Linked DNA regions of Notamacropus eugenii. The protein of the gene in region 1 interacts with the protein of each later gene in a biochemical or structural test. Links are inferred from orthologs where the notes say so. Each region holds a gene or a part of one and is shown on either strand. Other genes may lie near its edges.

The links.
Region 2: the proteins of NOXO1 (region 1) and CYBA form a complex in vitro, tested with the Homo sapiens proteins (3 studies listed by IntAct). The link is inferred for Notamacropus eugenii from reciprocal best matches to the Homo sapiens genes NOXO1 and CYBA.
Region 3: the proteins of NOXO1 (region 1) and NOXA1 form a complex in vitro, tested with the Homo sapiens proteins (2 studies listed by IntAct). The link is inferred for Notamacropus eugenii from reciprocal best matches to the Homo sapiens genes NOXO1 and NOXA1.

What each region holds. Positions count from the first base shown.
Region 1 is NC_092872.1:48,352,764-48,363,120, reverse strand, and holds NOXO1 (NADPH oxidase organizer 1), read right to left. Parts: upstream 4,762-10,357; coding exon 4,696-4,761; intron 3,973-4,695; coding exon 3,892-3,972; intron 3,680-3,891; coding exon 3,604-3,679; intron 3,400-3,603; coding exon 3,225-3,399; intron 2,145-3,224; coding exon 1,948-2,144; intron 1,394-1,947; coding exon 1,280-1,393; intron 997-1,279; coding exon 879-996; intron 761-878; coding exon 271-760; 3' UTR 148-270; downstream 1-147. UniProt on the Homo sapiens protein: Constitutively potentiates the superoxide-generating activity of NOX1 and NOX3 and is required for the biogenesis of otoconia/otolith, which are crystalline structures of the inner ear involved in the perception of gravity.
Region 2 is NC_092872.1:705,425,109-705,435,106, forward strand, and holds the start of CYBA (cytochrome b-245 light chain), read right to left. Parts: upstream 4,347-9,998; 5' UTR 4,189-4,346; coding exon 4,131-4,188; intron 1-4,130. UniProt on the Homo sapiens protein: Subunit of NADPH oxidase complexes that is required for the NADPH oxidase activity that generates, in various cell types, superoxide from molecular oxygen utilizing NADPH as an electron donor.
Region 3 is NC_092872.1:493,494,440-493,504,409, forward strand, and holds the start of NOXA1 (NADPH oxidase activator 1), read right to left. Parts: upstream 4,347-9,970; 5' UTR 4,188-4,346; coding exon 4,014-4,187; intron 1-4,013.

The DNA.
Region 1 (10,357 bases):
AGCGACAGCAGAATTTGAACTCAGGTCTTTTCTGTGGAGGCAGTTGGTGAACCCAAAGTCACATAGGTCAGAAACACAAGGTTGGGGTCTGGGGACCTTCACTTTGGAGGTGGTGAGGGAGAAAGCAGGCAGGCTCTGCTGGCCCACTCCTGGAAAGGGTCCTTTATTTACACACGTACAAATTAAAAACAAAACCATTCAGGACTAAATCCCACAGGGACAAGGCCTCTAATATAAAGGCAGACATCCTGCCACTGGAGAAGCAGAACTTCATAACCTGGTATCCGAAGGATTTATCTGGGAGTCTAGGCCAGGCTGGCTGGGGGGATGGGGTGAAGCAGGTGTGGCTGGGAGTGGCTTGGCCGAGGGTGGGCCAGGTGCAGGAGGCGCTGGCCCAGGAGGCTTCCGTGCCTCTGGACTGAAAAGGGCCTTGCGGGTCAGCGTGCAGCACCTCCGCAGGATGTCCCCTCGCCTGGGCCGGGGGGGTACGACAGGTGTGGGGCCGGTGCCCGCCATGGCACTGCAGTCCTCCCCCTCGTCGCTGCCCGAGCCCGAGTCTGAGCTTGAGTTGGGGCTGGTGGGAGGGGCGGGCTGGGGGTGCGGGGGCAGGCGGCCTTCGTCGGGCTCGGCTTCAGCTCCGCCGGAGGGTCCTGGGGCCAGGTTGGCCGGGGCCGCGTTCAGGAGCACGCCCAGTCCGCTGGTGTTCATGGGGTCCGGGCACAGGAGCACGGCTGGTAGCAGCCCCAGGCGGTCGCGGTACCTGAGGTGGGGGGAGCCGTCACACACACGCCCGGAGCTTGGGGAGGGCAGAGCCGCACCTCCTCCTCCCCTCCTCCCCTTCCCACCGCCGTGCGCAGCCAGCCTGCACCCTTACACACCGGCACTGCCACCAGCCGCACTCGGACTCCTGTAGCACGGTGACTCTGGCCCCCGTGGGCACGGACAGCTCGTCCTCCCGGCTGCTCTTGTAAGCTTCGGTGGTGCAGAACGTCAGCCCTGGATGGGGTGGAAAGGGGCGATCCAGGATGCTGTTTCCTCCTGGGGTGGTCCCCAGGAATATCGGGAGACTAAGGTAAGCCTGACCAGGAGGATGTCTTATCCTACCCAGCCATGCAGGGTCATAGGGTTCAGAGCTGGGAGGAGCTCTAAAGATCATCTGTTTTACAGATGGGGAACATAGCTGGGCACAGATCCCAGCGCGAGACTGGCCACTTTCCTTCCCCCTCCCTTGGTTGGATCACAGAAAGGAGGGGTCCAGACCAAGATCAGGGGCACTTACCACTGCAGGGTATCTGGGGCATCTCCTTGCATCCCTGTCTTGGAGATGCCTCCTCCAGGTAGGGTGCAGGAAACCAAGCTATCTGTTTGTCCTCATTTTCCACCAACCACCAGCCTGGGGAGTGGGGAAGGAAGATTATACTGGGATGTAGACAACCCGACCCCTAAAACTCAGCAAGTAAGAGGGAACAGGTTTTACTTACATGGGTTAGGAAGGAAATAGGGAGGTAACTACTTATTGATACTGACATGTATGCATGGGCACACATGGACATACTCTCCCTATCAAATATGAATTCCCAACATTTGAAGGATCTTGCTCCGCTGTCAGATTAAAGAACCTATCCTTGCCCCCTGGATCCCCATCTAAGAGTTCCCATTCCTTCCCAAAGGCTCAGACTCTCCTGCCCCTGGGGTCCCCCAGGAATAAAAGTATTTCCCCTGAATGTCCCTATCCCCTCAAGCTAATACTTCCATTTCCTTGGGGTTCCTGTCCTCTTTCCCCCAAAAAACAGGGACACAAGGATAGGATATTTAGGCTAAGACCCCCTGTCTCTCTAGGATCTCCATCAACTGAAAGTCTCCCTCCCCCAGGATCCAGGGCTGAGGCCCCCATCTTTACATCTTTTCCATGTCCTCCCCCTTCCACAGTCCCCCAAGCCCTCCCACCTGTGGGTTCTTTAAGCAACACATCCAGCTCTTCTCCAGCTTTAGCTTTAAAGGACCTGCCCCTGGTGTCCTGAGTACTGAAGCTATCAAGACACCGGAAAGTCTGGGCCTCCAGGGTGTGGATGTCTGGTTCTAGGACTGGGGGCTTCTTTGGACTCCTTTCTGGTCTCTCCCAAGGAGAGGGCACGATCACCAAGCTTTAAGAAAAGACCCAAGATAAGCAAGGTAAGACATAGATGACAGTTGAGATGAGTTAGCTTTAACCCTCTGGAATTGGGACTTTTCTACACCCTGTACAAGATTTTCTGCCGGTGGAAGTTCCTCCCCACTTCTTAGACTGACATTTGAACTTTCCATCTAGCAACACCTCTTTTTCATACCTTGCCATCCTTGAGGATGTCAGATTCATTTCCACATCCGGACCTTTGCTCAGTCTTTGGCTCCTATCTGGAATGCCTTCCTATTACACCTCCCCTTTCTCTTAGCCTGGCCCTACCCATTCCTGAGAAACTAGCCCTAATCCACCTCCCAGTCATTTCTGACTTCCTTCTGGTCTGCTGTTCCCCAGACTGACAGCGTAATTAACACCTGCAAATACTAGAAGAGTTGTTCAGTGGAAGAGGATAGGGGACAAGTCAAGGATCTGCGATTTCATTGACATAAAGGGGAATTCCTGTTACTAATAGAGGTCAACAGCTTATAGTGTCAGAGAGCCTTACCCAGTATGTGTCAGGGCATGACTTGAACCCAGGCCTTCTGGGTTTCAAAGCTAGCTCTCTGTCCACCATACCACACTGCCCCATGCTAGACTTGTTCTGCTTGGTCTCATATGGCAGAATTTGGTTGGACCAATGCTCGAGAGTGGGAGAGTCGTTACTAGGAGGTCAATTCCCACCAATTGTAAGGAAGAACTTAACAGGATTGTTTAGACATGGAACAGGAGGCAGTGAATGTCCTGTCACTGGGAGCCTTGTCAAGCAGAGGCTGTACAATTACAGGGGAATGTAGAGGGAATTCTACACTGGGCCTCTTAGGAATGGAAAATAATTCTGAGGCCTTTTAAATCCCATCGCTTCCAATAAACCTTTCCTGATGCAGCCCATGCAGAGCTTTTCTTCCCTTCTCTCAGCTTCCCCAGTCAGTCCCATTTTCTGTGTCCTTATATGAGTCTGCTTTTCTCAGTCATTGTGATCTCACCCACCCCTAAACCTTCACAGGGTGGACAGTGAAAGCTTGATCTGATTAGGAAGACTGAGCATATGGGGACTCACAAATACCTGTTGTGGGGCAGGACAGGCTCCAGGTCCCCAGGCTGGGGCTGGAAAAAGTCAGTGACCACCTTACTTTGAGATACCATCTCTGTGACCTCCAGAAGTTTCTGAGAATAGGCTTCTAGCAGCCGTAACCTGGTCAGTCCCCTTCGTGTCCTTCCACTGGGGAGTACTGAGGCATCTATAGGAAAAGCAGAGATTCCTGTGAAATCCCAGGCCCCCCACTCCCCTCAGCCCTGAGCCCTAGAGCTCCCTTTTTCTTTCCTATGGGATCCCACACCCTGAGGTCCCAGGACCCTTTCTCAGGCTGGCCCAGTGCCTAGTGGTCCACTCAGCCCAGAGATCCCCCACCCACCTATCCCATTCTTTTCACCAGTCCCCTAACCTTGAAACTTGGGGAGGACACAGTCTGAATTCTTCAGCAAACCTGCCTCCAAGGGAAAGGAGTTCTTCAGTCTTTTCTGAGAAGATAGAATCAGGGTCATGGGGGGGCTTTAAATAAGGGAGTTAGGTGATGAAGGGGTAACAGATGGGCTGGGAGGGAGCCCCTAGGTTCAAGGCAGTCATTAGGTAGCCCCCAGAATGCAACCTAAGTATACATCCCAGGATCAGGCAGGGTAAAGGGGTTGATTCTTGAGGATCCCATGGGGCTGTGGCTAGGATGGTGTCTCACATGGAATTGGCGGAACTCCTGGAAGGTCCTGTAGATGAGGCTGTCACTGCCATCAGACCAAAGCACGGAGAGGATGAACATCTAAGGGGCAGAAGGTTGAGGGAAGGGGATTCAGTGGATTCTGGTCTTACCACAGCCCTATCCTCCTTTATCTAGCTCAAGAAACATCCTTCCTGCCCTATAACAGGGCTGGGTACAGAGGGCTGACCCCCACCCAATTGCACACACGTATACACAGCTTCATTTTCTGTCACATACCCAAACATGTTCCTAGCCCAAGTCTAGAAAAGAGAAACCATGACAGAAAAGGAAGAGACAAAGACTTGGGGGGGGTTAGGTGGGGGAAGAAAAAGAGATAAGGGTCACGGAGGAGTCAAAGGGACTGTCGAGACAAGGTGATGAGTATGATGAGAAAGGAGAGTCAGTTCAATGGGTAAAACAGAGATGGGAGCAACAAAGAGGGAAGGCAGAGAGTGAAGGATGGGAGAATGTGGAGATGCACATGGGAAGATCAGGAGAAGAGCCAGGTTTGGGGAGAAAGTGGAAGGGAGAGTAGAGGAATGAGGAGAATACATGTGAGAATGAATCAGGAAAGTGAGAGTCAGAGAAGGAGACATGCGGAGATGGAGGGACAGGGGAGACCAGGATACAGAAAAGCAGGAAAACAGGGAGTCCCAGCTGGGGGAGATGAAAGGAGGGTGGAGGTAGAGGAGAAGAAACAGAGGAACTAGAGAATAAACAGATCTAAGGGAAACAAAAACTGCTCTGAAAGGAATAGGTACCAGGAAACTAGTTGAGCAGTACCTGAGGACGCCTGCCCAGCACAAGTCCCACCCCTCGAACCCACTTCAGCTGCTGGGTACCAGTCATCTTGTTCTGTGTGATTCCCTATGCCCTCATCACCTTCTTAAATGGATGGAGAGAGAGGGCGGAACCAGATTCAGGAGAACCACCTCCTGGCAGCCTGCCAGGCAGCTTCTAATTTGATTGTCTCCTCCCTATTACCAGGAAGATCTCCCCAAGGTTGGAGGCAAAAATTCCCCAGGAGTCTCCAGGATTTCTAACTCTTGACCTCTCCTGTAGGTCATCAGAGCCTCAGAAGCAGGGGACTGTTCTAGGTGTGGTTTGGCAGGAGAGACAAATCCCCTCTCTCAGTTTTCGGACACCTGGGCCCAGGACAGCTGTGGTAGAGTAGAAAGCATATTGGAATATCAAAGTCAAAGCACAGTAGGAAGAACATAGAGTAATTATCTCAACCTACATTTTTTGGAACAAACAATCCATGCAATAGAATTAGTCAAACAAAAAGCCATGACGATATTAATGAAACACATCGCCCATCGTGGGAAGGTAGCGTGACATGGGTTTTATAGAGCATATGCCCCTCTCCTCATCCTGCTCCTGGCTGACCCTGTGAGGCCTGCTTCTGGCCATTCATCACTCAGGGGTTCACACTGTGATACGATGAGTAGTCCCTTAAGTGGCTGCATAGCCAGAATTGCTGCAAGCTCAGGAGATAGGCAAAAGGGATGACCTACACCCCCCCCCCCCCCAGTACCTCTCTTCATTTCTCTCTATGAATTATATTCTCTGTTTTGAACTGTGTCCAGAGACACAATAGGGCAATTGTTCCTATCTCATACTCACCCCCACAGTAAGCAAACGAGCTCAGGTTGGGTTACCTGATTTTCTGTTTCTTCTTTTTTTGTATAGGGGACCTTGTGAGTTTTAAGAATCCAGATGTCTATTAGTTGGAATAGTGATAGGGACAGCACAGTGACAAGAAAAACTTCTGCGTTGGAGACAGAGGCTAGTATAAAGCAGACTGACTCAAGCTTGGTCATTTGATTGGACAGTGCCCAATTAATCAATCAATAAACGTTTATTAAGGTCCTACTATGCGTGGACTCACTGAGGATATAAAAGGAGACAAATGACAAGCAAATCAGATCAAAAGACACTGGCAATCAAATGAGGATCTTTTGCTGTTTTTGTTTTACTAAAAGGGCCTCTGACTGCATTAATGTGATTGGAGAGAAACTTTCCCACCCATTGATGCCCATAGTTCAAAGCTTAATTAGGGAGTTTGTTTTGTAGGAGCGTCCCAAGTATTTTTTGTTTTTTCTATGGAGGCACTGGGTCAGAGTTATGCCCTCTGGTTCTAAAAAGTGTATAAATACTCTGAGGGTGAGATTTAACTTTGGCGGCTTAGTGATCGACTTCTTGAAAATCCAGATGTTGATGCTTCCCTCTCTAGTAAAGATGTATGTATGTTAGTGGTCAGGCAGTTTGGAAGGGCTGTCTGTTGAATTTTCTTTTCTCTGAAATTTTGAACCTGATTTTCTCTGATACCTGTGCTTAATTAAAGTGATTGTTAACCCCTTGAAAGTTGCTTTTCTTTTATGAATGTAGATCTAAGAACCTGTGGTAGGAGGCCCCCCTGTGCATGTTGAGGTGCTTACTGTTACATCATTTAAAAGGGGAAACAAGATGCAAACCAATATACACAAAGCGAGCTACTTACAGAATAAATAATAAACAAAGAAACCACACTAGAATTAAGAGGGATTGGGAAAGATTTCGTGTAGAATGTGGGATTTCAGTTGGGACTTACAGGAAGCCAGGGAGGTCAGTAGTCCAAGTAGAGGAGGGACAGAGTTCCAGGCATGGGGAACTGCCAGAAAAAATGACCAGAGATGTGTGATTGAGTGTCTGTTTTTGTAGAACGGTCAGGAAGCCATTGTCACTGCATCAAACACCACGTATTGGAAGTAAGGCATAAGGTGACTGAAAAGGTAAGGGGTGCCTAGGTTATGAAGAGCTCTGAATGCCAAACAGAGGGTTTTGTATTTGCTCCTGGAGGCAATAGGGAGCCACTGGAGTTGATTGAGTGAGGGGTAGGGGTGAAGGTAGGGGAACATGGTTGAACCTGCACTCTAGGAAAAATCACAGTGAGAGCTAATTGGAGGATAGATTGGAGTGAGGGGAGACTTGAGATAGGCAGTCCCACCAACGGACTATTGTAATATTCCCAATCTGAGGTGGTGAGGATCTGTACTAGAATGGTGCCAGTGCCAGAGGAGAGAAGGGATTATATTGGGAAAATGTTGCAAAGATGAAATTGATAGGCCTTGGCAATCGATTGGATATGGGAAGTGAGAGATAGTGAGGAATCTAGGATGACTCCAAGTTTACAAGCCAGAGAGACTGGAAGGATCTATTGCCCTATGTGGTAATAAAGGTGGTAGGAATTGGAGAGGGGGAAAGATAATGACTTCTATTTTGGACATTGAAGGTATCTACTGGACAAATAATCTGAGATATCCCAAAGGCAGTTGGAGATGCAAGATTAGAGGAAATAGAGAGTTTGGGGCACCTCAGGTAGATCTGGGAATCATCAGCATAGTAATTGAATTCACGGGAGCTGATGAGATCACCAAGTAAAATAATATAGAGGGAGAAGAGAAGAGGGCCCAGGACAGGGTTCTGAGGGACACTTATGGGGAGAGGGTGTGACCTGGAAGAGGATCCAGAAAAGAAGACAGTGAAGGAGGAGTTGTATGGGTAGAAGGATGGCCAGGAAAGAGTGGTGTCCTGAAAACCTAGAGAGAAGAGCGTATCAAGGAGGAGACAATGATCCACAGAGTCAAACTCTGCAGAGAGGTGGAGGAGAATGGAGGACAGAGAAAGGGCCATTGGATCTGGCAGCTGAGATACCACTGCTAACTTTGGAGAGAGTAGTTTCAGTGGAATAAGGTCAGAAGCCAGACTGTAAGGGGTTAAGAAGGGGAGAGGAGAGAAAGTAGAAACACTTAGCCTAGACGGCCTGTTTGAAGAATTTAGTTACAAAGGGCAGAAGAGATATAGGATGATAGTTATCAGGGACAGAAGGCCAAGCTAGAATGAAATGGAGAATGGCTAATTAGCAGTCCTGCAAACTGTTATATATCTTGATAAGGTTTAAATATCAGTAGGTTTACTGAATCCTACTAATCTCACTGTGATTTTTCCATGCTTAGCATTTCTTTCTGTGTAGGAATAAACTACCTGTCCCATACCCCGATTCATACTGTGCATTAAGAACCTCTTTTACTTCTGCCCCGTTGGGGGACCCCTAGACTTGCGAGTTGTTATCTAATTTGCTATAATTAAAAATTATCTCTGAATGGCTGGCATTGGGAAACTTAATAAGCCAATGAGTGTGAGAGGGGAGAGCCCCCTCTCACCAGAGGCTAGAATTCCCCTGACTGGGGAATTGATGGCATGGCTGGGCATAGGATAAGGAGGAGTGAGTCTGCCCTAGCCCCAGTGAACCCAGCCAAATGGTCTCTCTATTTTAGAGTATCTCTAGAAATATTAACACTTCCTTGTCAAAAGGGAGGAAGAGGATTGATGGAAGTTCCCAGATTATATCACAATCAGGATCATCAGTTACAGATAATTACAGATACTTCTGGAACAAATACCACTTCTCAGAGCAGCAGTAAAGGCTGATGATGAGTAAACGTCACTGGATTTCTTGAATGAAAGTAACACTGGTTTTATTTCTTTACAATGGACAATCTAATGGCTTAGGTTCCAAGACTGTAACCAAAAGGCCTTCCATGAATAATAGTCCATGTGAACTCAACTGCCAAGTAGATAAAGACACAGTAAACAAATGACTGAGTCATTCAGATTTGACATCAGAAACTGAGGGCTTTATGACAGAGGTAAGAAGCGAGGTTATTGTTACCAGGAATTACTGAGAGGTTATTTTATTATATAGCCTGGATTTATTATTAGGGTATTTTTGCAGTCACAAACATTTAACACCTATCAAATGCCTAAAAATACACAATCAGGTAGCCAGTATTATACACCATAAAATCACTATCCTTCATAAACTAACAGAAAACAAACCCATAAACTACCAAAGGAGATCCTAAGATATATTGAGAATTCAACAAATTAATCCTACTGGACCTGGAGAGTTATAAAAGACAGAACCATTGCCCACAATTGCCCAGATATAATCTTGATCCATAAAAATTTAAGAACAGCATTTGTAATAGATATCACCAAACTCAATAGTCAAAAAAAAAAAATCTCCAAACTTCATGGAAAGAAAAACTTTCAAAATATAGACATCTGAAAGGAGAAATCCAATCCTCAAGATATATGTCATTTCTGGAGCAGTGAGTGGGTAGAGTGCTGGAGTCAAGAAACCTGAATTCAAAGTCAGCCTCAGACACTTACTCGCTGTGTGATCCTGGACAAGTCACTTAACCCTGTTTGCCTCAGTTTCTTCATGTGTAAAATGAAATATCAAGTCACTCCAGTATCTTTGCCAAGAAAGCCCCACATGGGGTCACAAAGAGTCAGACATGACTGAAACAAATGAACAACATGGACTATATCATCCCCATCATCCTGTCTGCAATGGGGATTGTACAGAAGATATTTTATGTAAGCAGAGAAAAAGATAAGTCTATATTCTGATAGTTTTATTCATTTATGAAAAGCAGTTGTTTTACCTGCCTTTATAGTCTGGAGAACATTAAAAATAAAAGAATAATTGCAGGATAGTGACTTCTCTCAGACCCTTTCTATCTTTCCGTACTCCATTAAAGAAGTTAAGAAGAAAATATGGTCTTTATTATTACAACAATAATGATCATTAGCATCGTGCCTTCAGCATTTAGCACTATTTGGCACATTATAAGCACTTATAAAATACTTATTGACTTAATAATAACACACCTTTGTATAGTCCTATCACACCTTGCAATCTCCCCTTACAAAAAAAAAAAATCAACCTATGATCTAGGTGGGGTAACTTGTTACTATCCCCATTTTATAGAGTACAAAACTGAAACCCAGAGAAGGGATGTGACTTGCCTTTGTCATGTGAGTCTCTGACTCCTAGGTCTGGGTCTTTTATAAAGACAGCTTGCATGTTCTACGGAGGTTACCTGGATTTTGGACCAGAAAGGGGAACATCCAGTGTTTGCAGGAGGATTCCCTCTGCCAGGGAGCTCACCCCTCACCCCACTTTTGTTTCTGCTTTGGAGGGAGGGAGGCAGGGCAGTTGGGGTTGGGTGACTTGCTCAAAGTCACACAGCTAGTAAGTGTGAGGTATCTGAGTCTGAATTTGAGCTCGGGTCCTCCTGACTCCAGGGTCCCTGCTGTATTCACTGCTCCACCTAGCTGCCCTCCACACACACACACACACACACACACACACACACACGCACGCACACACTTTCCCACTCCACTTCTGGACATCTCTAAGGTTAAAAAGGCTTTTGCTTTTGTTTTTGTTTTCTGAAATCTGCTTCCTTGTAGCTCCTAAGTGGTCTAAGTTTTGTTTTCTGGGACCAAAAGGAAGAAGTTAAATCTCTGTTCCACATGACAAACTTTCAGCTATTTGAAAAAACCTGAAAGCCATTCCCAGACTGCCCACTTCCTTTGCCCCTCCTTCTCC
Region 2 (9,998 bases), about 660 Mb from region 1:
GCAAAACCCTTTCTTGGTCCCACAGCCAACTTGTGGCCTGTGGGTAGAAGCAGTTCCAGCAGCACAAGACACCTGAGAGTTTTTGGGTAACAATATCTGACCTAATTTAATTAGTGTATCATAATTAATGATATTAATTATTATCAGTATGATATAGTATTATATCATTAACTTTATATTGCTACATTATATAATTATTATTATAAAAGTAATAATAGTAATTAGTGGACTATATCTTGGACAGAGAGCCAGTCAGTTAAGTCCTGTGTCTGACACGTACCTATTTGCTGTGGGAACATGTGCTTAACCTCTTAATCATGTGGGGGGGGGCTCCCCCAGAACTTTGCAAAATCATGTTACAGATGGATGGCTGCTCTGCATCAGTAAAGGGATATTCCAAAATGACACTTAAGAAATCACAAGTCTAGACAAAAAGCTAAAGTAACGTACACTTTGATAATGGTTTACAAAGCACTTTTCCCCCACCCACTCCATGAAGTCAGCCAGGCAAGAGTCCTCATTCCAGAGCTAAGGCAATTTAGGCTCAGAGAGGGGAGAGGATTTGCTCAGGCTCGCACAGCAGTAGGACCCAAACTCAAATTTTCCCAGTCTCAGACCAGTACTCTTAACCAGCTGACACTTCTGGCAACACAGCCAAAATCTGGGCATTATCTGGGTCCTCTTCATGAAAGGGCTAAAATCCAAGGCAGGAATCCTTAGCTGACTACACAGTGTGTCAATAAATGTTTGTTAACTATGTACCAATGACTGTGCTCAAGGGAGGGAATAAAAACTAAAAGGAAATAAAAATTAGTGGGAGCAGCCCATAGTCAGAGCTGAAATGAGGATGCCCCACCATTCTCAAGAAGATGATGTTAAATATTATTATCCTCATTGCCTTGATCAAGACCAGGCTAGCACTGAATCCAGAACACTACTCCTGTAAGAACCAAGTGGATTAGATTGTTCCCTGGACTCCTCTTGTCTTATGGCTAAACAACCATGCAAGTGCCTACTGCTGCCCAGCTTACATGGTAGTTCAATACTTTCTTCTTCTCCATAGAAAAGTGGTGGACTAGGGGTAGAGAATAGTCCCTATACTGTCAGGAACTTTCAATGAGTTGGTTTGTTAGGCTTAACTCTTTTCTTTGTTCTAAGGTTGGAATGATTATTGAGAAGTGATGAAACAAGTGTCAACAGAAGGCTTTTTTAAAAAAAAGGTTATGGCTCACCAGAGGTATACATTAAAAATCTATGCATTTAGCCCCCAGGAAAAGCTAGGAGAAGATGCCTTTCCCTGTTCCTTTGCAAAGGTGGGATGGACAATGAATGTGGAAATCGACACATAGGTTCACATTTTTTTTGCTGCATTTATCAGTTTTGCTCTTTTTTTCCCCTTTAAAAAATTCCTACATGGGGTTGCTCTCTGGGACTGAAGAGGGAGGAATAAATAAAGGAGTAACTCTAGGCAACATAAAAACGAAGGATTCAATACAATTTCATTTTTTTAAAAGGAAAAGAAATTTAAGCAGTCAGTCCAAACAGATTTCAGATCATGAAAAAACCTGATCTTCATTCAACTGCTACCATTTGTTTGAGGGGGGAACTCCTTGTTTTCTTGACTTCTACATTTCAGAATCTTCAAAGAATTTTTCTTTCTTCCCCAGTTTACTTGCCAGGCACAATGCCTTAGGAAGCTAAGAAATGATTATCCTTCACAATTAAAAAAAAAACACAAAAAAACGGGGAAAAAGATCCTAATGACCAAGCTGACTAAGAGTTGTTCTGGTTTAAGATCCTACAATGGTACAAAGTACAACCAAATTTACAAGCCAGAAGCCCTGGGATTCAATTTGGGTTCTGCCTCTTACTAACTGACTTTATGGCCTGGGCTTTACGTCATACACTGTCTGTAAAACGGGGTAAATGAGACTTGCATTACCGGAACAGACGCAGCAGCTCATAGGCTTTCCTTGATCACAGGTTTTAGAACTGAAGTTGGCTGAGATCTCAGGGATGGACCCACATTTCCCAAGAAGGACTCACCTACCCACCTACTAGCTCAGACTGAAGCTCAGTTTATGCCCTGAGGAGCTAAGCAAGCCAGACTGGGCACCTCAATCTTTCCTGCAGGGCGAGAATCACTGGGGCTTCAAGGCAGGGTGAAGCTGGGGGGAAGGGGGGTGCAATCAGAAGCTTAGCTTTTGGGGGTGATGCTTTAACCCATTTGTCCCAAGGCTTCTCAACTCTAAGTAGGTTGAATAGGCAAGCTTTAAGGTAAGGGATCTTCCCTCCCACATTCCCCTATCCCCTTCCCCTGATACTTCTCACAGCGATGGAGAAAGCCCCTTCCTCTCTGGAAAGGACAGGAGAAGGCTCCCTCTCCAAAGGCCTCTGGGAGAGTGTGAGTTAGCACTGACATTCAGACTCAGACAGACTGAAGTCAGCGAGATCAGATCTCTGAAGAAGAGGGGAAAGTGAGAGAGGGGCAGAGAACACAGGACAGTGTTTCCAGGGCATTCCTGGAAGGTGGGAAAAGAAAGCGGAAATTCTGAGCTGCTTCTTCCTTAGCTGGTCTCGAAAAGCCAATGATTTCATGACGTCTAAGGTTCCTTCTAGCTTTGAGATTCTATGACTCTGCCATCTTATGGACCACACAGCCTGCTGGCAGTACAGAGGGGAGAAGGAGGAGGCTGATCTCACCCTGGCTATTCTCAGTCATGGGCTGTGTGTGGATTTAGAGGACCTGGATTCAGATCCAACCTCTGACTTTAATTAGCCCTGTCATTTTGAGCCTCAAAATCTTTAATCCTCAAAGCCTCAGTTTTCTCAGCTGTAAAATGGGACTTGCTCTTTGAAGTTCCTTCTAGCACTAAATCTTAGAATTTTAGATCAGGTCACAAATAGCTTCTTTCTTTGCTCTGTGTGAATGTGTGCATCTATATCGAGGTGGTGGCTCATAGGATTTGGAGGTGTTTGTTTTGGGGGAAGAGTTTGGGGAACTCTAAGCCAGAGACTGTGGTTGGGCCTTTGGAAGGCTGTAGGATATGCTTCCATGCCCCTCAACTACCAGGGTATCCCCCAGTCCTGATTATAAAGGGGGCCTCTGCCTCTCAGATCACAGGGGGACCCTCAGGAGGCAAAGCTGAAGACAGAGGACTTCTCCCTCACAGAGGACAGGAGGCTACAGCAGCTGACAGGGGCTTTCCCAGGCTTAGCAGTAGGGTGGTGACCCAACCAGAACCCACAAGGAAGAGGAAAGACCATTTGAGGGAGAAACACCTACTTCTCCTTTTTATTTTTACTTCCTCAATCGAGAAGAGGCAGTTTCCTTCTGACTTGTCTTCCTCAAGTTCAAAGTTAAAGACAACTAGAGGGAGAGGGGGCAGAGAGGGGGGCTCCCGTGTTTCTTGGCGGATGAGTACTCCCAGAGTCCCTGTTTTCTGTGTTTCCCCTAGTGGCTTAACCTCGGACCAGAACTCCCTTCCCTCCCTCCTTCTCCCTCCCCTCCCCTCACAGCCTGGTGGTGTCCGCGTCCTCCCCCCCACCCCCACCCCGCCCAACCCCTTTACCCTGGGCACATCTCCGCGCTGCAAACTATTCTAACCATCAAACCAACCTCTCTCTCTCTCTCTCTCTCTCTCTCTCTCTCTCTCTCTCTCTCTCTCTCTCTCTCTCTCTCTCTCTCTCTCTCTCTTTCTCTCTCTCTCCTTTCTCCGTCTCTCTCTGTCTCTCTCTCTGTCTCTCTCTCTGTCTCCCTCTCTCCCTCTTTCCCTCCTTCTCTCTCTCCGTCCCCTCCCTCTCCCTCTCCTTTCTCTGCCTCTCGGTCTCGCCCCTCTTCCTCCCCTCTTTCATCTCTCTTCTCCCTCCCACACAAAGTTTTAGACACTTCTCTGCAGCCCCTCTCTCCTTCCCATCCCTCCTTCCCCCCCATCCCCGGCCTCCCCCCATCCCGGCCCCCCACTCCTCCGGCCGGGACAGTCACTCAGGGCTTCTCAAAGTTAAATTACAACAGAAAAAGTTTCCAGCCCAGGGCCGCCGGTGGGGGCGGGGACAGGGCTGGCAGTGCCTCAGGGGGCAGACGGGCCACGCCGCCCCCGCCCCCACCTGGTGCCCCCGTCCCCACTCACTGAGGCCAGATGCCAGAGCCTGCTCGTTCGCCCACATGGCCCACTCGATCTGGCCCATAGCGGCGGGCGGCGGCCCCCCGGAGAGAGCCCGCAGCTACAGGAGGAGGAGGAGAGACGGCAGCGGCTGCAGCGGGAGCCCGACACTGACCCGCCCAGCGGCCGGACCCAACTCCGCCTCTCCCTGTGCTCCGCCCCGGGGCGGGCACCGCTTCCTGCCCTCCTCCTCCTCCTCCTCCTGCCCTCCCACTCTTTTTGCCCGCGCCCCCAACCTCGCATCCGATCGAGCGGACCCTTGTTTAACTGACGTCCTGGCCCCACGCAGACCCCGCACCTTGGCTCTGCGCCGCTCTGCTCTCCAGGTTCCCCCATCCCCGGAGTGATACCCACTCCTGAACCCCGACCTTCACATTAGCCACTCCTGTCGTGACAGCCTCTGCCCTGGGAGGGCACCGAGCGAATCTCTTGCTTTGGGATCAGTTCATGGCTACTGGGAACTCCCAGAGGGGCATACTCCCTCTACCACTGCAGGTGGGCACCTTTCTGCCATTTAGAGTCTTAGAGAGTTAACTAGTTGCCCAGTGTCAGAGGTGAGACCGGAACCCAGGTTTAGCCTATTTGAAGGCCCACTCTCTCTGTTAGCCCAAACTGCCATCTCCAAACAAGGAGAAACACATAAGCACTCCCGCTTCTGTGCAGCCCCATCCCTCTCCATTCTCCAGGGTCACTCTCAGATCAACACAGCCCTTCCCTGACGCAACAAAGCCTTGAAGTTCAGACAACAGGTGACTTTGCCACCGTCACAGAGCCTGGATTCAAAGTCGGGACTCCCATCTCCAGTGCCATTCTCCTTTCCACATCATGGGATCCCTGATGCAGAGGAAGGAAAGTCAGGAGACACTGGACCCAGTTTTGGCTCTGTCACTTACTGACTCTATGACCTGGGAGAAAGGGGGTCATAATGCTTGCACTACCAAGGTAGACACAGCAACAGTTCTTAGGACTTCTACATCCCACAGATTTTGGAGTTTATCTAGCCCAATCTCTTCATTTTCTAGATAAGGAAACTAAGGTCCTCAAAGGTCATTGTTGTTTTGTTGTTTTGAGGAACAAATGAGATAATGCATTATAACAGGAACACTGACCTAAGTTAAAAATGGGCTGTTCCTCAGCTAAAGAAACCAACATAAGAGATTAGGGGCTCTTCTAGGCCTGGGGTGTGGGAAGTTGACCAATTTCCTGAAGGGACAGATGAACTATGGTAGTTCCTTTCTAGGCTACCACACATTTTATACCCTTATTAAAATAGCCCTTCCCACCCCCAATATCCTTCTAAGAAAAACAATTGCCAGTCATTTATAAAGTACCTACTGTGTACCAGGCACTGTGCTGGAAGATAGGGATACAGATACTAAACTGAGGTGGTCCCTGCCTTTTAGGGGTTTACATCCAACAAGGGGAGACAACAGACAAAAATACGGACTACAAAAAACTAACAGTAATTGGGAATTAGGAAAGATTTCTCTTGAAGTCGATGACACTTGAGATGAACTTTGAAGGGGCCTTCGGGGGACCAGGAGGCAGAAGTAAGGAAGGAAGGCTCTCCAGACATAGGGCAGCCTTTTCAAGATGGCAGCCCCCTCTCTGGAGTGTTGGCCAACAGCTCTGTGGCACTGGCCTGCCTCTGCCATGAAACATGAGCCTCCTGGTCACCCTTTCCTTACTTCCAAAATGTTCTGTCCTTTACAAAGCAGGGGAAAAACTGGTGGTAGACAAAGATGCCTATGTGGCCAACCCTAAAATATGAGAATCTCAAGAGTTACACCTTTGCTGTCATAGAGTTAAGTCCATGTATAGAATTCAGGGGGTTTGTGATTTAAACAAACTTTTTGATAATTGTATTTCAGCATAATTGGTTTTGGGATGTATTGTATGCATCTGAAAACATGACTCTGAGAAGGGGTCCACAGGGTTCAGTAGTGTCACCAAAGGGGTCTAGGACATAAGAAAGGTTAAGATCCCCTAATCCAGACCAACTTCCTAACTGAATACCCTCCACCAGGTTGGTGATTCCCTTCTTTAAATAAACAGTAGTAGAGACATTTGCCCTGTGAAAAGGGCCTTTGCCACCCATGCCCACGCAAGACAGGAAAGATTAATTCTCAGCTGATTGTGGTGTAGCATGAGTCACACCAGTGAGAAGAGGGAGATGTTACACCCATTACCCTTTCTCTTTGAAGTTAATGCTTCCTTTTGTGTTTTATTTTGTAGTTTGTAAGTTTGGAAGACCCCACAGGGACAATGTGGATATCTGAGGTGATGAGGGATGAGAAGGAACTAAATAAAAGGAAATTCTAATAAAATACATTTTATTGATTTCTTGCAATCAAATACTGCCAACTAGTATTACTTCCATTCATGCACCATTCAAAGCAAAGGGATAATTCCTTGGGTATTTTTTAAATGATGCATAACATTTTAATACAGCAAACGGAAAGTTAAAACTTATGATGCACCCTGATTAATTATGTAAACTGATAATTTAAAAAAAGCAGAACTAATAATTTGGTTCTTTTGTTCCTAAAGTGGAAATTTAAACATTTCTCCTGATAGTCTTGAGGTTATCATCGCATTAGGAGGAGTGCAAAGTGTGGCACACATGGGATCATCTAGGAAGGCATGTAACCAACACACCTCATCAGAATTGATAAATTGTGCATAACAAAATGCATGCAGTCAATGCATGACAGAAAGCATCTTTCCAATACAAGGTCACCCTTGGGCTCCTGTATTATTTCGATTTTGCATTATCCTTTATGGCATTATATATTAGTTACTATATATAGCATAACCCTGAAATTAAGAGGGAAAATAATTGCTGCTTGAAGAAAGTGATTCTAGGTCACCATTTGGTTTGAATCAGGAGAGACCCTTGGGAGGTTGGCATTTGCCACCCCCAGTTTCCTCAACTCCGTACTCTTCAGGCTGTGCTGTGTACTTCATAGTAACTGTTCTCGAGGGCATGGCCAGGCCTTTTCTCCTACACTGGTCTGTCCAGTGACCCTCCACCTGGCCCGGGCTGTCCCTAGCCTCATGGTTTTTCCTTTTTTGCTGTTTTCACTGTAGATTTCCTCTTCCTCACCATCACCATTTTAGCCCCTTGTGACCTTTCATTTAACTGTTCATGAGTCCTTTTAGAATATCTTCAGGGAGCTCTAGGGATGGGAAGTCCAAGGGAGGAAGGTTGGGGATGGGAATGTCCTTGACTTTTCCTGTGCTGGCTGCAAACTCCCTTCAGGGAGAAGAGGCTGTGGCAGTCTGTGCAGGGGGAGGCAGGCTCCATAATTCTGATTTCTCTACAAAGTCAGCATCTACATCCAATTCCTTTTCAGGTAGAGCCTTCTGGAGCCTGGCCTTTTTAGCTTGGAGCTGCTTGTTTTCTCTCCTCAGTCTTTCATTGTTGGCCACAAGAAACTCCGTACCTCGCTTCAGATCAGCAATCTTAGTTACCTCCTCTTCTATTGTTTTGTTATCTTTGGGGACTTTGCTGCCGGGACACAGTTCTGTCAGATCTTTCCTCTTCTGAAGGAGAAAAAGAAGAGTGTCTGGGTCCCTGTCGAGAACCCTGGCACTGCAGCAGGGTTAAACTGCTGAGACAGGGGCACACTTGGGCCCTCAGACCTATCCTCAGCCAGAGGCCTGTTTGACATCGGAAGATGAGGGGTTTCATCAGGACTCTGCTGGGCTTTCCACCTTTCCTCCCATTCTGCCCCTTTCCACCTCTCCTAAATAAGCAAGAGTTGTTTCATGTGGCTATCCCTTTGTAATTCCAGTGATAACTGAGCCTGCTCAGACCATGTAAGCTTCATGGCTTCAGAAAGATATGCGGCCACCTTTTGGTAACACAAATTGGCCTCTTCGAATTTCCCTGCAGCTAATGACTGTCTGCCTTCCTGCTCTGCCAATGAGCTATGTGCCAGGTCTGGTGGAATCTATGTCTTCCAAAAACTAGATCAGTGAAGCTGTGGTAGACTCATCACTGGAACATTATTAGCCATGAAACAATCTCCCAAGACTGTGGAAAGAAGATCCACACAGGTTCAGGAGCTTGTCCATTACTTCCATAGATGTGACGGGGGGAGGGGTGGGGGGGGGGGTGGCAGTGCCATGGAGGTCTGGCTCATGGAGGGTCAGGGGAGGGCAGCACTCAGACAGGCCCAGGTTGGTGCTGCTGCTGCTGGATCAACACAGCCACTGCTGCTTCCTCCTCCCTCTCTGAAAGGAAATTCTAAACCAACCATAATAGTAGAACCACCAGCCACTTTTTACAGCCACAGAAACAGCTTAATTGTATCATTAATTGAAGATACAGAGGGAACTGGGTCTCTGGAATCACAGTCTGAATTATTGACGGCTAAAGTGTTGTTTTCACTTGGGAAAAAAAAATTAATCCAGAACCTATCCCCAGAGGACGTGTGACCAGAGCCTAATTTTACTTGGCACATTTGCATGGCCACTAATCAAGGCACTTTGGATCTCTTGGTCCTTTGCTTCTACCTTTGCAGCCACTGGCTCTCCCTGATCTGCAACTCCCAAGGGGTAAAGGGGAAGAATCCTTTTGGAGTTTAATTTTTTTCAGTTTATTTACATGATGACAGTACTGTTTAAGTAGCAAATGTAATCGTCCACCATAATTAGAAAATGGAATGTCTTGGATAATTAAATACTTGGCCTGGTAATCCATGGAAAGGGGGTACGGGATGACTAATTGTTGGATGGGAGCACTGACAAGGCTGATTATAATCATATCTTCCATCAAAGATTCAGTAGGAGTTCCAGGGTCATCGTGATGAACACAAATTATCACAGGAATATACAAATAGAAACACTTCCCCCTTCAACAGAACACTAGATAAGAAAGGATGCAATAGCACTTTTTTTTTTTTAACTTTTAACATTTATTTTCACAAAATTTTGGGTTACAAATTTTCTTCCTTTTTATCCCCTCCCCCCCCCAAACCCAAGCATTCTAATTGCCCCTGTGACCAATCTGCTCTCTCTTCTATCCTCCCTCTCTGCCCTTGTCTTCGTCTTCTCTTTTGTCCTGTAGGGCCAGATAGCTTTCTTTACCCCTTAACCTGTATTTCTTATTTCCTAGTGGTAAGAACATTACAGTTGATCCTAACACTTTGAGTTCCAACTTCTTTAGCTCCCTCCCTCTCCACCCCTTCCCTTTGGAAGACAAGCAATTCAATATAGGCCAAATCTGTGTAGTTTTGCAAATGATTTCCATACTAGTTGTGTTGTATAGGACTAACTATATTTCCCTCCATCCTATCCTGTCCCCCATTACTTCTATTCTCTTATGATCCTTTCCCTCCCCATGAGTGTCGACCTTGGATTGCATTCTCCTCCCCATGCCCGCCCCTCTATCCTCCCCCCCACCCTGCTTGTGCCCTTGTCCCCCACTCTCCTGTATTGTGAGATAGGTTTTCCTATCAAAATGAGTGTGCATTTTATTCTTTCCTTTAGTGGAATGTGATGAGAGTAGACCTCATGTTTTTCTCTTGCCTCCCCTCTTTATCCCTCCACTAATAAGTCTTTTGCTTGCCTCTTTTATGAGAGATAATTTGCCCCATTCAATTTCTCCCTTTCTCCTCCCAATATTTCTCTCTCACTGCTTGATTTCATTTTTTTTTTTAAGATATGATCCCATCCTCTTCAATTCACTCTGTCTTTATGTAAGTGTGCGTGTGTGCATGTGTGTGTGTGCACTCCCACCCAGTACCCAGATACTGAAATGTTTCAAGAGTTACAAATATTGTCTTTCCATGTAGGAATGTAAACAGTTCAACTTTAGTAAGTCCCTTA
Region 3 (9,970 bases), about 450 Mb from region 1:
GCAGTTAAAAGGAGTAAACACAGACAGAGAACACAGGTATGGGCTGACTATGAAGGGACGCTTATCTAAAAAAAACAAAATTAAGGAATGAGAAACAGGGATGCATTGGGAGAAGGGGAAAAGGAGAGGTGGAATGGAATAAATTATTTCACATAAAAGAGCTTTTACAGTGGTGGGGGAGATGGGGGAAGTGAAAGTGGGGAAGAGAGATGATCCTTACTCTCACTGGAATTGGTTCAAAGAGGGAATAGCACACACATTCAATTGGGTATAGAACTCTGTCTTATCCTACAGGAAATAGGAAGGAAAGGAGATAAGAGAAAGGGGTCTTGCTGATAGAAGGGAGGGCAGACTAGAGTAGGTAAAAATAAGAAGCAAAACACTTTTGAGGGTGGACAGGGTAAAAGGAGAAAGAGTAGGATAAATAGGGAGAAAATAGGATATAGGGAAATACATAAGTGTAAAAGAGTTTTATAGCAAGTTTCTCTGATAAAGACCTAATTTCTCAGCTATGTAGAGAACTGAGTGAAATCTACAGAAATAAGAGCGATTCCTCAGCTGATAAATGGTTAAAGCATATGAACAATAAGTGTTCAGATAAGTACTCAAAGCTGTCTATAGTCACATAAAAAATGCTCTACATTACTATTGATTAGAGAAATGCAAATTAAAACAACTCTGAGCTACCACCTCATACCTATCAGATTGTCTAATATGAGAGAAATATTGGAGGGGATGTGAGAAAATGGAGACATGAATACATTGCTGGTGAAGTGATATACTGATTCAAACATTCTGTAGACAATTTGGAACTATACCCAAAGGGCTATAAAAATGTGTATGCCCTTTGATCAAGCAATACCACTATTAGGTCTGCATCCCAAACAGATTAAAAAATGAAAAGGAAAAGGACCCATACATACAAAAATATTTATGGCAGCTCTTTTAGTGATGGCAAAGAATTGGAAACTGAGGGGATGCTCAGCAATTGGGGAAAGGTTGAACAAATTTTTGTATGTGATTCTATTGTTCTATGAAAAATGATGAGCAGGATGCTTTCAGAAAACTTGGAAAGACTTACATGAACTGATGCAAAGTGAAATGAACAGAAGAACCAGGAGAACACTGTATACTGTAACTGTAATATTATATAATGGTCAACTGTGAATGATTTAGCTATCCTCAGCAATACAGATGATCCAAGACTGTTCTGAAGGACATGATAAAAAATGTTTTCCAACTCCAGAGAAAGAACTGATAGAGTCTAAATGCAGATTAAAGCATACTTCACTTTTTCTTCTTTTTTTAATCTCTGTTTTCTTTTACAGCATGACTAACAAGGAAATATGTTTTTCGTGACTGTACATCTGCTTCATCAACCACTTCACTTCCCTTAATTGTGGGTTTTTCCCCGTGGTTCAGTCCTAGGTCCTCTACTCTTGTCTTTTAATACATTCTCTGAATGACTTTATCAGCTCCTATGAGTTTAATTATCTTCTCTATGCAGATGAATGTGGCAGCTAGGTGGTACAGTGGATAAAAGCACTGGGCTTGGAATCGGGAAAACTCATCTTCCTGAATTCAATCTGACCTCAGACACTTACTAGAAGCGTCACCCTGGGCAAGTCACTTAATTCTGTTTGGCCCCCGTATCCAGTCCTAGTTTCTCCCCTGGGCTTTGCTCCTGCACAATTCACTTGCCTATTGGAGATTTCAAACTGGATCTCTCAGACACATCTCAAACTCAGCATGTTAAAAACAGAACTTGTCTTTCTGTCCAAACCCATCCCTCTTTGGAACTCTGAGATCTTTGTTGAAGGCACTGTCATTCTTCTAGTGTCCTAGATTCATAACCTTGGTGTAATCATGGATGCCTCATCCTCCTTTACCCCAAATATCCTATCAGCTGCCAAATCTTGTCATTTTTACCTCAACAACATTTCTCTCACACAATTCCCACTTTAGTTCAAGTCCTCATCACTGTTCACCCAAGTTATGGCAATGGCCTTTTAACTGCATTTCCTATCTCTAGTCTCTCTCTGCTTTAGTATATCCTCCATACACAGCTGCCAAAGTGATCGCTCTCATGTATAGTTCTGACTTTTACACTCCTCCCACTCAGTCAACTCCACTGGCTCTCTACTGTCTTAAGAATAAAGTATAAACTCTTCTGTTTAGCTTATAAATCCCTTTATTACCTAGCTTCAACCTATTTCTCCAGTCTCACTGAACTTAGCTTCTCCTTCTCCACTCTGTGATTTCAACAAACTGGTCTTCTCTCAGTTTCTCAAACAGGACACTTAATTTCCCCTTTCCATAATTTTTACACTGACTGTGCCCCAACCTGGATTGTACTTTCTCCTCATATCCGCCTCATAGAATTTTTTTCTTCCTTGAAGGTGGAGCTCAAATATCACCTTCTGTGGGAAGCCCTTCCAGCTTATCTTAATTGTTAGTGTCCCCTCTCTCAAGTTTCCTTGTATTTGTCTACTTTGGATTTATTTGCATTTATTCAGTATATATCTATACATGTCATTATTCTCTCCCTTTAGAATGTAAGCTCTTTCTAGCAGGCATTTTGAAATTTATTTTATGTGTATTCCTTGTTCCTAGCATATAGTAGGAACCTAATAGAACTGATATATTGATCTACTTAGTTATTTACAAGTGGACTCTCCCATTAAAATCTAAGTTTCTTGAGGGCAGGGATTTTTTAAAGCATTCCTTTGTATCCCCAAACTTAGCATAGTGTCTGATGTGTAGTAAACCCTTAATGAGTTCTTTTTGATTGATTTTGATTGTTTGATTAATAAATGATTATTGAATTATAATTTAAATGGGTAAAGGATTATTATCCACATCATTCAGATAAAACAACTGAGGTTCAAAGAAGCTGAATTGCCTGAGGTCACAATTAAGTGATGGAATAGGAACTAGAATTCCATAGTCACAATTACTCTTGTAATCTTTTACCACAGAAGAACATGACTCAGTCCTGGGGGTAGTGTGCCTAGGAGATGAGATGTATTAAAAAACCAATATGACTAAAACATCTTCTGCCCACAGCATGGAAAAGGGGCCAGAATGCATCTAAAGTTTTTATGGTTGGGTTATATTCTAAGTATTATGTTTGTTCTCCTCTCAGCCTGTCTTGTCATCCTCACCTGCATACCCATTCCAACTTTCAAGTTATTCCTATCACCCATGGGAACTCAAGAAGATGGCCAAAATATTTTGTGTGGATTTGCCTAGTCTCTTTATAGCACCAGTAGGAAACATTGGAGAACCATTCCCTGGTCCATCTGATTCAACTCTATTCAACAAACATTCACTAAGTATCTGTTGTTCTAGGCATGGTGCTTCATGTTTGTCTTTCAGAATGGCTTCATCCATATGCCCACTGATGGATCGGACACTGTCTCATAAGGAAGCAAAAACTTCAGGTGCTACTAGATTCAACCTCAATAAATATTTGGTTTAATTGCATTTTATATTTTTTTGAGAACTTTATTTTCTTTTTAAAAAATTTAATATTTTATTTCCCCCCAATAATACATAAAAACAATTTTAACATCCTTTTTTCAAATTTCCAAATTCTCTCTCTCCCTACCCCTCTCTTCCCCATTGAGAAAGCTAGCAATATGACATGTTATACATCTGTAGTCATACAAAACACGTTTCCAAGTAAGTCATTGTATTTTAGTTTAGATCTGACTCTCTTTACCCCATATTGTGCCCTTATGGATGGGGAAGCTGGGAGCAGTCAATTCTGGATTGGGAAATACAGTGTGTGCCTGGTGGGGTGTGTTTTGAGTGAATGGCCTCCTCTCATTCAGATTCTCTCTTTTCTCCTTTCACATCTCCATGACCCCATCTTTTCTAGAAGTTATAGGATACTCAGGAGGTTGGGGTGCTAATTCGTCCTGATCTCAGGCTTTGGATGTCTGAGCTATAAGGTTTGGGATATAATCCTAGGCCTCACTAGCATCCCTCCCATTCCTTTGCCCACTCACCTGCAGGGCTGCCTCTGGATTTCCAGTTAGCAGGTGCACACAGCCCATGTTGAAGCAGATCTTGGAAGAAGGCTCTTCAATTCTGGAGAATAGTTCCAAGGCCAAATCCCAGTCCTTCCTATCCACAGCCTGGACAGCTTCATGCCAGCCCTTCACCAAATCACTGTATGACATTAAGGATGACCCTACAGTGGAGCTGGCCTAGCTACCCTGGGGGAAATAAAGAGCTCTTTGAGAAGGTATTGACTGAGCACCTTACAGCTGTGAGGTTGTGAGAGGATTGTGCCTGACACTCCTTAGAAGGCAGCCTTACCAGGGTGAGAATCTGGGCTGAGCAGGAAGTAAAGCCCCTTTCTGTTTACCTAGTAAGAGGTGGAGGTATGTGTGTGTGTGTATTCATGTGTGTGTGTGTGTGTGTGTGTGTGTGTGTGTGTGGAAAGGGGAGTGAAAGGGGGCTGGCTGAAAGGATCTTTCAGGTGCTGAGGTCTGGGGAACACCTGTCTTTTAGAGCTAGAGAAAAGATCCTGTTTCCAGTGGCTGTTGTGGGGGTGGGCTATGAATAATGATAAAATGTCTGGCTTTTAGACAGCTCTTCATATTCTGTATAGACTCTCACCTGTAGTTTCTACCTGTGGCAGAGCTGAGTGATGAAACACCTGCTATCAAGCTGCTCTGTGTGATGCGTGTTTTGTGGGAGGGGGAGGAGGGTCTTGGCCCCATCTCTAAAGGACAGAGGAGGACAAGAAGCTTCTGGTTCATTTTTTTTTTTTTAGGAAGACTTGACAGCCACTGCCCCTGTCCTCCTTCACATTTAAGTCCCTGTCATGAGCTGAGAGTATTTTAAGGAAGCAGTTTAGATTTGAAAACAATAATCAGATTGAAGTTTACTAACTAAAATGGAAAAGGATTTCATTTGGTTACTTTATGGTCATGGGATGGGGAGGAATTATGCATGGGGATGAGGCAGATGGGGTGAGGGGAGAGAAGGTTCATGTGTGGAAAAATATCTGTGAGGGGAGTGGGCTATGTGTGTATATGGGTGGGACAGGACAGAAGGGCAGTTATAAAAAAAGACAGAATAGAAATGCATTTGGTGAGGACTTCAAGAGGATGAAGGTCTCTGAAGGGCCTGAAGAGAATATAATATGGGGGAAATTCTCTGAGATATGGGGTGTAGCAGGGAGAGCTATTTTAAGAGGAATCTGGTATATGAAGATTAATCAAGGCACCTGTATGGATTCAGGAGTCTTGATTCTAGATCTAATAGGCTTCAGAGGACTGGGTCCTATCAGATTGTATTTTATTAGGGGCACCCATGCTCTTTATTTCGGGCTCCATTCACTCTGAATTCTCCACCTTCTCCTCAGTAGCAATCTCACACTGGAGATAGCTCTGCTCTGAGGACAGCTTTGCTGATTGCTGTGTCCCTAGCCACAACCACCATTTCATTAGGGGCCCCAGCCATGTTCACTTCACTCTCAGCAAATCTGGATTTCTCTGTCCTTACTAGTCATCTCACCAGTCACCTTTGCCCCAGCCTGGGTTTTTCTCCTCCCACTTCAACTTCCTTTTACACAGTCTTTCTCCACTAGAATATAAGCCTTTGAGGCTGGGTCCCGTTTATATCCTCCAATTTCAGCCGAGTGCTTAGAACAAAGTCCTTCATGTTCTACCTGGTTAGCTAGGTGGTAGAGTGGATATAGCACTGGGCCTGGGCTTCAAATGCAGCCTGAGTGACCCTGAGCAAGTTGCTTAGCTTGTCTGTTTCCCTAACTGTGAAGTGGGAATAACACAGCACCCACCTCTCAGGGTTGTTGTGAAGGCTAAATAAGATATCTGTAAGTGTCTAGCCCTGTTCCTGGCCCACAATAGGTGCTATATACAATGCTATTTCTTCTTTCCTCTCCCGCCCCCACCATCTCTTTCTGAGGTGAACAAGGGCATGTTAGGGAGACACGTAAACGTGCATGTGTGTGTGTGTGTGTGTGTGTGTGTGTGTGTGTGTGTGTATCTGATGTCCCTGGGGTGGTGGAGACCAATTAGGGATGTAGAGCGAGAAGTCTAACATGGAAGAAAATGTTTGTATATGAGGGGGTAGCACTCTAGTCCTTTTTTGGGTTGGGATATTTGGAGGAGACTCGGTGGCTGGAATAGTAATAATGACAGTATATATATGTATGTATATGTATATACGTGTGTAGACACCCACACACACATACATCCTACACAGTCTCTTTGGATCCTTACAACCCTGTGAGGCAGATACTACCGGTATCATCACCCATATTTTCTAAAAGAGGAAACTGGGGTTGAGAGAGGTCATGTAGACCCATGGTCACAGAGCTAGTCAGCATGAGAGGTGGGTTTCTAGCCTGGGATTCCCCAGGAATCTGGGGTGGGAGAGCTCTGAGGGGGAAGGTCTCAGGAGGGGGCCTGGGTATCTGAAATATGAGGATTGTGGGGGAGGGCACAGAGGGGGTCTTTGAGGGGGTTGAGGCCTGGAGGAGGGAGTGGAAGGGAAACAGGGTCTGGGGGGGAATAATAAGGCCATGGTGGGGGTTGTCTGAGGGAAACAGTATAGAACGTTGAGAGACTGAGGAGACAGACTATGGGAAGACTGAATGGAGTGGGGGGACTGCAGGGAACAGAATATGGGGGATTTAGAGTGACAGTGTGGGGAGATGCTGGGGGGACAGGGTGTAGAGGGACTGAGGGGGCTGGGGGCTGGATACAGGAAGACTGGATGGAACACAACGATGTGGGGGGACCTGCAGGGAACAGAGTGTAGGGGATTGGGGGGATTTAGGAGGGCAGAGGACGGAGTCTCTGGGGGCTGAGAGGGCAGGATGCAGGAGGACTAATGGATCAGGATGTGGAAGGACTCTTGGGGGGACAAGATAAGGGGGGATTTAGAGGGATGGAGCACGAGGAGCCGCGATATGAGGGGGCTCCGAGACACGAGTGGGGGGGGCTAAGGGGAACAACATGGGGGGCCTAAGAGGACAGGATGTGGGGGCCCCTGAGGGCGCTGCACCAGGCGGCGGCCAGGTCGGCACTTCCCGGAGGGCCCCACCCCGCCGCTGGGGACACAGGGCCTCCCGGTCCGGAGCGGTCCACGCCCACAGGCTAGGCCCGAGTTCTGGGGAGCCGCTGGGGTGCCGTTGGGGCCTTCCTGCCCTCAGCAGCGCTCGGCCCGGCTTCGGTGCCCCCGGAAAAGCGGTCCGGCGCCATTCCGGTGCACGGCTCCGCCGCCGCCCCGCCGCCGACGTTCCGCTGCCGGGAGGGGAGAGGGCGCCGCCCCGCGGGCTCCGAACGCCGGCTCCACGTGAGTGGCCGCGGGCACACGGGGACACGGGGACGTGGGGACACGGGGCCCGGAGGGCCCTGGCCCGGAGATCGCGGCTCTGGGGCCCGCCAGGGCGCCTGTGTGAAAGAGTTGGGGAGCCTCCGGGCGGTGTGGGTGGGGGCGTCGGAGGGAGGGGTCTAGGGGACCGTGTGATTGTGGGGGGCCACGGGGCTGCTAGGCTGGGGGGATGGGGGGGTCTGTTCAGGGGTCCCCGAGCCCCTCCCCCGCCTTCGGCCCCGGGTCCCAATTCCTAGAGCCCGGTGAGCTCCCGAGGGAGCGTCCAGATTCCGGGCGTGGTCCGGGGCGGTCACCGCCCAGACGCATCCTCGGCTCGACCCCGTGCAGCCCCGGGGCCGCCTCCTCCGAGAAGCCTTCCCCTCCCTCCCGTCCCTCCGCGCCTCCTCCCCCAGCCCCCGCTCCCCAAGTCTTGATTTCCCTTCTGCTTTAATTTCTCAGAACACTTTGTTCGACCCCTCCACACAACCAAATTTTGGCTTGTATTTTTATGTATTTGGGTGTCCTCCTTCCTGCTGGGTTGAAAGCTCCCTGGGAGCAGGGGCTGTGCCATTGCTGTGCCATCCCCGTTCTTTCCAGCCCAGAACAAAGCCTTGCCCCCGTCGGTGCCTGGGTATGAGATTGTTGGAAAGAACGTGCGGGTAACCCCCCGTGGAGAGCGGGACGAGGATCCAGGTCTCAGCGGGGCTGCCATGTCCAGCGTGGCCGTAAGGTGTCAGTGCAGTCTTGGGAGGACAGTGGTGTGGACCCTGGTGGCACCCACCGGACTCAGAGACCAGGAAGAGCCCCTGGGTCTGTATTGGCGCCGTCCCTGAGGGTCTTCCTCTCCCAGACTGATGGGTGAAAGAGGCCATTCTTTGCCCCATCCCTTACCTGCCCTAACCACTGGACGGGTGTTGCCTCAGACAGCCGAGGCCAAGGTCTCCCCTGCAGCCAGCCCGTCTCCAGCTGTCCTGACCTGCCCCGGCCCCGGGCCCCACATGGCTCCTGTGGCGCAGCCCTCCCTGCTTCAGCCTGATTCCCTCTGCCGCAAGGACGGACAAACGTCCGTACCGGGAGCAGCGTCTGTCCCTGAGGGCACAGCCTGTGTAATTCAATTAAATGTCCAAATGTACTGTGGCATTTTTTGACATTTTATTTAACATTTTCTAACAGTGATAGGCAGGATGCAGAAAGAACCTGTGGAGCCTGTATTATTTTAGAATTTCTAGTTATTTTATGTAGTTACAGATTCAGCGTTAGACAGGACCCCAGAGGCCATCCAGTCCAACTCCCCTCCCCCCCTTTTTTTCAGATCAGTAAATTGAGGTTTAGGGACTTGCAGAGTAGTAAGTGATAACCAATATTTGAACCAGATTTTTTGACTCTTTCCATTATATTTGGGCTGGCCAGAAATTTGTGTTAGTCCCACACGTAAAGAAAAGTACTTATTGGCAAATGAATGGTTCTCTTCAGAGTGGCTGAATGGTTTAGTGGAAAGGTGCCTCAATTGGGAGCCAGCAGATTCAGGCTTTAGGCTTGTCTTTTCCTCTGCCTTGCTCTATGACTTTTGGCAAAGTCACTTATGAGGTTGGATTAGATGGTCTCTGTGATCCCATTTAGCTTTACGCGCTCTGATTCTAAAGACCACAGAAAGAATATTTAACATTTAAAAGAGCTATTTGTGTGTGTATACTGGAAAGAACACTGGACGTGGGGGGCAGAAGAATGAGGTTCTTAGTGCAGTCCTTAACTGGCAGGCTTGATCATAAATCATTTCACCTTAGCGCATCTCAGTAAAAAGATTGTACTAGACAATTTCTGAGAGTTCTTCCAATTCTAGCCAAATAATTTTAATCACTACTAAATATAGTGCATGTAAAACAGTTTAAGGAGACGTTTCTTAGTACTAATTTTTCCTGTTGATTAAAAAAAAACTTATTTGATATTTTATTTTTCCCAATTACATGTGAAAACAATTTTAACATTTCCCCCCAAATTTTGAGTTCCAAATTCTCTCCCTCCCTCCCCTCCCCACCCCATTGAGAAGGCAAACAATTTGACATAGGTTATACATATTCATAGTCATGCAAAACACACTTCCTTGTAAGTCATTCTGTGAAAGAAAACACAGACAAAAAACCTTCAAGAAAAATAAAGAAAGAGTATCTTTGATTACATTTAGGCTCTACTAGTTCTTTCTCTGGTGCTGGACAGTACCTTGCATCATAAGTTCTACAGAATTGTTTTGGATCATTGTATTGCTGAGAATAGCTAAGTTATTCATAGTAGATCATCATACAATATTGCTGTACTGTGTACAATGTTCTCCTAGCTCTGCTCATTTGCATCGGTTCATGTAAGTCTCTCCATGTTTTTTCCATGTCTTTTCTATGTTTTTCTGAGAGCATCCTGCTCATCATTTCTTAAAGCACAAATTAAGGGACATCTCCTCAATTTCCAATTCTTTGCCACCAGAAAATAGCAGCTATAAATATTTTTGTATGTATAGGTCCTTTTCCTTTTTTAAAAAATCTCATTTGGGATACAGACTGAGTAGTTATATTGCTAGGTCAAAGGGTATGCGTGGTTTTGTAGGCCTTTGGGCATAGTTCCC